2 linked regions of the Cricetulus griseus genome follow. The protein of the gene in region 2 purifies or fractionates together with the protein of the main gene of each other region. This does not show direct contact. Links are inferred from orthologs where the notes say so. Each region holds a gene or a part of one and is shown on either strand. Other genes may lie near its edges. The genes, in order: Sufu and Cdc25c.

Region 1 (3,813 bases), on a different chromosome or scaffold from region 2:
TGTACACTGTGTAAATTATGCTGTGATTGGCTTAATAAAGAAGCTGACTGGCCAGCAGCTGGACAGGATAAGTAAGGATAGATGGGAAAATCCAGACTAAGGACTCTGGGAAAAAGGGTGGAGTCAGTGCAGTTCACCAGGAGGCAAAAAGACAGCAAGACTTGCTAGAGGAGAGGTAAAGCCATGAGTCACATGGCAATACATAGGTTAATAGAAATGGGTTAATTTAAGTTGTAAGAGCTAGTTAGTAACCAGACGGTGGTGGCACATGCCTTTAATCCCAGCACTCGGGAGGCAGAGGCAGGTGAGTTCTGTGAGTTCGAGACCAGCCTGGTCTACAAGAGCTAGTTCCAGGACAGCCTCCAAAGCCACAGAGAAACCCTGTCTCGAAAAGCCAAAAAAAAAAACCAAAAAACAAAAACCAAAAAACAAAAAAGAACTAGTTAGTAATAAGCCTGAGCTATCAGAGGAGCATTTATAATTAATATTGAGTCTCTGTGTCGGTTATTTGGGAACTGGCAGGTGGGAAAGAAAAGTCCATCTACAAGGGTGATATGTTAATGAAGATGATAACCCCCCCCCCCCCGATTTATTGTAGTACTTAAAATCTTCCATGTTGCTATGTTAAATACTTTCGTATAGTAAGTTCCAGGCATGTCAGGACTATATAGCAAGAACTTGTCTCAAAAGAACCCAGATTATAGACTGAACTGAAGATGTAGCTCCATGATACAGCACTTGGCTACTATGCCTGAGGATCCTGAAGGAGTCTGACCTGTGGAGCCAGACTATCAACATCTAACCTGGCTCTCAATCAATCACCCAATCAATCAATCAATCTTGGCCCTCACCCTGTGGACAAATAATATTATGTTATAGCAGCTCTTTGTTTCCATTTCCTCATACTAAGTGGGGCACATATTATCACCTTCCAATTTTACAATGTTATGCTGAAAATTAAATTCATTAGTGACACATAAGTATAAAATAAATAGAAGAGTACCTGGCATATAATCAGTGATTTAAAAAAATGTTGTTAGCTTTTATAATTATTCTAATTGCAATTTTGGAAGATTAAATACTAAGTTAATTATATTTTTGCTTGGTATTAAAATACCAAAATTTAGAGCTGGGTGTTGGTGGCACACGCCTTTAATCCCAGCACTCAGGAGGCAGAGGCAGGCAGATCTCTGTGAGATCAAGGCCAGCCTGATCTCCAGAGCAAGTGCCAGGATAGGCTCCAAAGCCATACAGAGAAACTCTGTCTCGAAAAAAAAAAAAAAAATATATATATATAATATATATATGAAAATATAATATATATATATATTAATTCTCAAATATATATTTTAGAATTAAGACATATACTAGGTGATTATAAAGAGAAATCAGTGAAAGAGTAAGAAATTTTTTAAATTATTCTATTATTTTAAGTGTACGGTTGTTTTGGCTGCATGTTTGTCTGTGTATCCATTATGCGCCTGTTGCCTACAGAGGCCAGAAGAAGATACTGAATCTGCTAGAATTGGAGTTAAGACAGTTGTGAGCTGTCCTGTGAGTGCTGGGAATTGAACCTGGGTCCTCTGAAGAGCAGCCAGTGCTCTTAACCACTTGAGCTATGGCTGAGCCATCTCTCTAGCCTCAAAAAGGGTAAGGAATAGAAGCAGATCAGTGCTAAAAATGAAGTGGACAATGCTAGCACAGATGAATGCAAGTTTGCTGCACATATCTACAACCCCTGCCACGCAGGAGGCTCAAGTGCGAGGATGGAGAATTTCAAGAGCAACCTAAGCCATCTACAAGCACAAGTTCAATACCAGCTAGGTCTACATAGCACAAGCAGAAAGTACAAACAGAGAGGTAACACTGGGAAGTGTCACCTAGTAGAACTAACATGTCCACAGAACATCACACATGTTCAATAAAGCCAAAGAAATGGACTTATCAAGGAAAGACAGGTGGCATACACTCACTCATGGACTCTGCTGTCACCATAGAGGTCGCTCAGGCCAAAGCTGATGTAGTGCCAGTGCTCGGGGATGTTGGCAGAAGGACTCCCCATATTCCTGTACATGCTAACATAATCCAATGGGTCTGGACCACCCAACCTGCAAAAGACAAAATATAAGGTGTCAATTTAAACCTGGATACCAGAAAATGTCAAGTAAGAGGCTCTGCTCTACAAACCCAAAAGCCCCATCCTAGAAGGACCTAAAGCAAAAGATAACTAAAGGGCAGCAAAAATCTCTTTAGCAACGAGCCACGGGTGAAGCAGCTGAGGCTATTGACGCCTCATGACCAAGAAGCCCCCTTCTCTGCCCTCTGAAGCACACTTGCTGGTTGCACGCCTTGCTCTCTCCTGTTTCAAGTTGCTGACTCCAGCTGGAGTCTTCTATGGGGCCTGACAACATGCCAGGCTTCAAGGTAAGAGGTGCATCAGCTAAGCAGTGGCTGCGGCTTCTGCTGAATGACTATACAGAGCATGCCCAATGGACGTCATTCCTGGCAGTACAGGTATCAGTCTACGCCTGTCTCTTAGACAGCTAGTTCCTGAAAGCCTGGATTGTGCCTCTATTATTGTTTCTTCTAAATACACACAAAGCCTCTGGTCTGCACAGATCAAAGCTCATTCACTGAGAGTGACAAAGTCCAAACATCAGCTAGCCCAGCTCTACGCGGAGCACTGAAGCAATGAACCAGGCTGACCCTGTGAGCACCTGCGTGCTAAGGAGCATCCGAGTCATTTGTCTCAAAGAAGAGCTGGGACAATTCACAATTTGATGCTCCCAAGGCTCACATTAAATTTCCCCATAAATCCAACAGAGAAGCAGTTGAAGAAGATATTCAGTCATTACCTCACTAGAGATTTAATTCAATAAAAGTTCTTTTAGTAATTAGTGCTTAAGCAAAACAAAACAAGCAACAAACAAAACTGTTTTCCTTAAGAATGGACAGGAAAGCATAGTAGACTTGAGAAGCACACTAAATGGAAACCATCAGCAGAACAAAGTGTGTACTGAGCCCATGAACTCCACATGTGAGCAACCACAGACTGTACTCCACAGACTGTAGAATCTTTGCCTGGCCCTGGACCATAGGCAGGAGTACACTTTGCATGTGGGCTACACTACTGAGGGACCGCTAACAACCAAATAAAAGACATGGTACAGGAGATCCCAGCAAGCGTGCCAGGACCATGCAATTCAAATCCTATTTTAAAACCAGTAAGTCTGGTTTCATCCTCTTTGCCAGGATGTTATTAGCCTTTGCAGAAATCCTTATTCTCTGGGGAAAAAGAAAAGAAAAGGCTAAGTTATTTATAGAACTCATAAGAAAGAAAGTCACTACAAATAATTTAGCTCTCACCTGAGTGAGTTAGGTAAAAGGCCAAGTCTCTATGCCTGCCTTTTGTTTGTTTTTTGTTTTGCAAGACAGGGTTTTCCTGTGTAGCCTGGCTGTCCTGGAACTATCTCTGTAGTTCAGGCTGACCTGGAACTCACAGAGATCCCCCTCTGCCTCTAAAGTGTTGGGATTAAAGGTGTGCATGCACCATCACCAAATCACTTGACTAAATCCATAACCAGTTGTATTTAGAAACATTTTGGGGAAGGACAGAAGAAAGAAAAGGACCCCATTATGACTGCAGAACCCTAAAAAATACAGGCTCCATATTCCCTCCAACTTCCTATTGCAAATCCCCAAGAGCCTTTGCTGCAGCCTCAGTCCATTGAGCAACAAGCAGTGACACTGTGCTCCACGTCCTGCTCCACCTGCCAGCACACTATAGCTCCTTCAGACAGTCTCCCAGGAGAG
Region 2 (4,555 bases):
GTGCTAGGCTTACATAAGCTAATACACCTGATTTTTTAACCTATTTTCACCATCTTCAATTTTTATCCTATTACCTTGTCCTTTCCTCCTTCCTTATATTTGTAAGTCTTAGTGTTTAAAGACGGAACCACCTCTTCAGCCTAAGAGATGGCTAGCAGTTAAGTGTACTTGCTATTCTTCCAAAGGATCCAGGTTCCTTTCCGAGCATCCATATGGTAACTCATAACAGTCAGTAATCCCAGTTCCAGGGGATCCAACTCGCAACTATACTCTGATCTCTGAGGATACCAGGCATGCATGTGGTACACATACATGTAAGCAAAAATATTTATACACATAAAAGTTTAATAAAAATCTTAAAGTTAGTTTTCTCTTTAAAGACTGTCCCCCTACCTGTTTCATCAAAGTCAGCAGAAGTGGTAAGATGAGAAGCAGACATCTCTCCATTGCTAAGATTTGAAAGATCAAGGCAACGTTTTGGGGTTCCTCTGTTGAGACATAAAAATATATCAAGATTTCCATTAGGGAGTACTATCCTAAAAAAGGTAGAGATCATGTCTTCACTCTCAATTACTACCACAAAGATCTAAACAACATCCAAATAAATCTGCTATTTGGAAATAGCTCAGATTGGGCTGAGAAAAGCAATCCCCTACTTTTTTCTCTATTACAGTAATGTAATCCCAGCACCAGGGAGGCAGACACAGGTGGATCTCTGTCAAGGTCAGCCTGGTCTTCAGAGTGAGTTCCAGGACAGCCAGGGCTGTTACACAAAAAAAACCTGGTCTTGAACAAGCAAAAAAACAAAAAACAAAATCAAAACAAAAACAAAAATGTGAGACTAATTTTCTTCTCACCAACATATGGAGATGGGATTTATTTAATGAGAATCTAAAGGGATCTTTTTATAATTTTTACCACATTTTTTTGTATGAGCACATACTTGTGTGAAGACAACTCCAGGAGACAGGGGCTCTAACCTGGGCCCATCATGCTGAGCCATCTCACCTGCCCAGTAAATAGGATCTTGACCTCACATTCTCTACCCCGTTCACCCTGAACACAAATTCAATTTCTCCTCGGAATCTCTACTATTCCTCAAATCCTGTTTGCTACGAGGTGTAAAGACAATATGACTAGACTCTAAAGTACAACACTAAAACTGATACAATTAAAGTGACCAACTCATAAAACATAATAATAGAATTTTCAGAGTTCTTCATAGACATCACATTGATTCTGGCATGACAGGAAAAGATTATTCCTGTTAAGATAGAAAATGATTTTTCTTATTATTATTTGTTTGTTTGCAATAAGGCCTCACTCTGGAGCCCACTAGTTGTCTTGAAATTTACTAGTAGCCCAGGCTGAACCTGTGGTCATCCTGACTCAGCTTCCAGAAAGGTGAGATCAGAAACATCCTCCACCAAGTCCCATTTAGAAAAAGACACTTACGGGGGGGCGGGGGGGCCCTAAAGAGATGGCTCAGAGGTTAAGCGCACTGACTGCTCTTCCAGAGGTCCTGAGTTCAATTACCAGCAACTACACAGTGGCTCACAACCACAATTCAATCTGGTGCCCTCTTCTGGCATAAGGTAGAACAATGTATATGAAATAAATAAATCTTTAAAAAAAAAAAAAAAGACGTTTTTTATTGTTTGTTACATGGAAAGGAAGCCCAATGTGACTCAAAAGAGTCACACATTCAAGGTCATGGCTGAGACAAACCCTGAACCTCGAAACAGTATAATTCTGAAAACAAACCTGTTCATAAAACCAAAGACAAGGTATAAAACTAAAAGTTAATTTACCGGCTGGAGTGATGGCTCAATGGTTAAGAGTTTGCTGTTCCCCAGGGTTGGGGTTTGCCCACGCCCTTAATCCCAGTACTCCGGAGGCAGAGGTGAGAGGATCTCTGAGTTCAAGACCAGCCTGGTCTACAAGAGCTAATTCCAGGACATCCTCCAAAGCCACAGAGAAACCCTGTCTAGAAACAGCCCCCCCCCCCAAAAAAAAAAGCTTGCTGTTCTTCCAGAATACTGCAGTTAGGGCCCCAGCACCCACTTAAGGCAGAGTAACCACCTATAACTTCAGGCAGGTACAAAACTCTGACCCTCTGAGACCACCTATAATCACAAACACATACCCACGTTTGGAACACACACACACACGTCTACACATCATTAAAAAATAAATCTTTAAAAAAATAAATTTACCCAGACAAAATGCTTAGGTTTGTCGAGTCGAGAAGTTTGTCTCCTGGAGATTTGGGGAAATCTGGGAAAGAAGTGTTTCTTTCCAAAAGTAGGTTTAACATCTTCCTTTGATTGGACCTAAAACTGGGTGCTGAAACAAAACTTCCCTCTTTTCTTGCAGATGGAAAGGGTCCTGTAGACATGACTTCGGAGTCTTCACGGAAGAAGAGGGGTGGCTATCTAGGAGAAAAACACTACAGATACTCAGCTTTCCCAACCTCTCCGCCCTTTCCAGTGCCTGCCTAGGCCCGGGTGGAGGAGCACCCCCCAAAAGGATCCCCAAAGGATCAAGTATAACACGCTGGAATGTCACACTGCTCAGGGCAAAAATTTACAGAGACCTGGCAAGCTCAGGCCTTCAAAGGAGGAACGGAGAGAAGACTGGCTTGATCCGGATCGTTCAGCTTCACACTCTTGGCCAGAAGAATTGGATCTACCTAACGCGATAAGGCTATTCGGACCTCCGGTCCCCGCAAGAACCCTGCAGGGACAATCGGGTGTCCGAGATTCCCGAACGGACACAGCTCTCGGCTTACCTTCAGTTTAGAGGCAGATTTGAATTTGGAGAAAGAAACTCCTGCAGAACTGGACGGAAGCGAAGACTCCAGCGAATGAGAAGGAATCTGAGGAAGAGAAGAGGGTCTTCGAGTTAAAATGGTATCTAGTTAGCTCGAGGTCCAGATTTGCTGCTTCTCTCCGGAATTGGCAGAAGGGCAAGACCAACAGCCATAGGCCTGACCATTCAAACCTTCCGCTCTCTCAACAGCCTATCACTGTCCTTATGCCAGTAGCGTCAGCCAATCAGCGTGCGAGACTAGGACCCTGCCCCCTTACCAATCGCTAGGGTCGTACCTGGTCGACTAGGCATCTCCGCCACACAGAGAGTCTGATGCTCATTGGCTCTCCCTCTGGCCAATCGTCACACCCTTCAAGTACTCAATTCCCCCAGCCCCAGCAACCCCGGGAGATTTGAATCGAGCCCCGCTAACGATGACGGTCTGGAGGAACTATTCTTGCGTGAAGTGTTTTCTTCTCCTTGCTTCTTTCTCGCGTCGTTTCTCTTGAGTTTTGTTAGCTTTCGGCTGGAAATGGAGCATTTGCCGCCAGTGTGGCAGTTGTTGGGGCGTGGCAGGTGTGTATTGATGCTGAGCCGCCCCTGACCCATTCCAAGAGGTTTTCTGGGTAGAAATTCCTTTTCAGGGAGAGTAGGAGAATTGAACGTTTTGACGTAATCCTCACGACATTCTAAAGGATCTTAAACTTTGGCTATTTGTGCGGCTTTGAACATTAACAAAATTGTATTTATATGTGGGGAGAGGTGTGGTTTCATGCTTGCAATCCCAGCACTTGAGAGAGTGCGAATAGGAGGACAGAGTGAGCTCCAGATAACCCGGGGCTAGAGGGAGACACTGCTAGGAAGAGGAGGAGGGGGGCAGGAGGAGAGTTATTATGGTAGTGGTAGTGGGGGTGGTAATAGGAATGGAATCCAAGCCTTGGGAACGCTGGACAACTACTGTCATTTAGCTGATACTACCCAGTCCAAGATTTTTTTTTTCTTTTTTTCCGAGACAGGGTTTCTCTGTATTGCTTTGGAGCCTATCCTAGCACTCGCTCTGGCCTTGAACTCAGAGAGATCCACCTGCCTCTGCCTCTGCCTCCCGAGTGCTGGGACTAAAGGCGTGAGCCACCACTACCTGGCTCAAGAAATTAGTTTTAGACTTATTTTTTAATTGTATGTGTGCAAGTTGGAAGGTCAGAGGCAATCCCTCAGTACTGGAGTTACTGGCAGTGTGAGCTGCCCAACATGGGAGCTAAAAAAACCAAACTCTGCAAGAGCCATACATGCTCTTAACCACAACTCTCTCCAGGCCCTGAGCCCGAGAAATTCTTAGGTTGTTTTTCTTCTTTCATATCTTTTGCGAGTGGGCGTGAGTATAGATAAGATAATTGGCATGACTAGGAGTGACGTCTGGGTGGGAAATTTAATGTACATACTAATCACCTGGAGATCCTGAGAAAGTGGATTCTGATTCAGTAGGTCTGGGTATGAGACCCCAGGGCCATACTCTTGAGAAGCAAAGCATTAGGCTGTACTTTTTGTGTGTCATTTATCTTAAACTTGTCTTCAGCTTGAAATCCCTCCACCTCAACCACTTGAATTCTGGGATTACAGGCATGTGTAGTCATCCAGTTTCCTGCACTCTGCTTCAGAATAGATTTTACTTTTTTTCTTTTCTATAGCTTTTTTTAAATTTCATGTATATTCATGTTTGCCTGCATGTAAGTCTGTGTGAAGGTAT

The links.
Region 1: the proteins of Cdc25c (region 2) and Sufu purify together in Homo sapiens (affinity purification with mass spectrometry; 4 studies listed by BioGRID and IntAct, counting the BioPlex papers as one, with this or other methods). This does not show direct contact. The link is inferred for Cricetulus griseus from reciprocal best matches to the Homo sapiens genes CDC25C and SUFU.

The regions. Positions count from the first base shown.
Region 1 is NC_048596.1:15,195,384-15,199,196, forward strand, and holds part of Sufu (suppressor of fused homolog), read right to left. Parts: intron 2,109-3,813; coding exon 1,974-2,108; intron 1-1,973. UniProt on the Homo sapiens protein: Negative regulator in the hedgehog/smoothened signaling pathway. Down-regulates GLI1-mediated transactivation of target genes. Down-regulates GLI2-mediated transactivation of target genes. Part of a corepressor complex that acts on DNA-bound GLI1.
Region 2 is NC_048595.1:202,742,918-202,747,472, reverse strand, and holds the start of Cdc25c (M-phase inducer phosphatase 3), read right to left. Parts: upstream 2,998-4,555; 5' UTR 2,792-2,997; intron 2,436-2,791; exon of another isoform or gene 2,432-2,435; 5' UTR 2,399-2,431; coding exon 2,217-2,398; intron 489-2,216; coding exon 394-488; intron 1-393. UniProt on the Homo sapiens protein: Functions as a dosage-dependent inducer in mitotic control. Tyrosine protein phosphatase required for progression of the cell cycle. When phosphorylated, highly effective in activating G2 cells into prophase.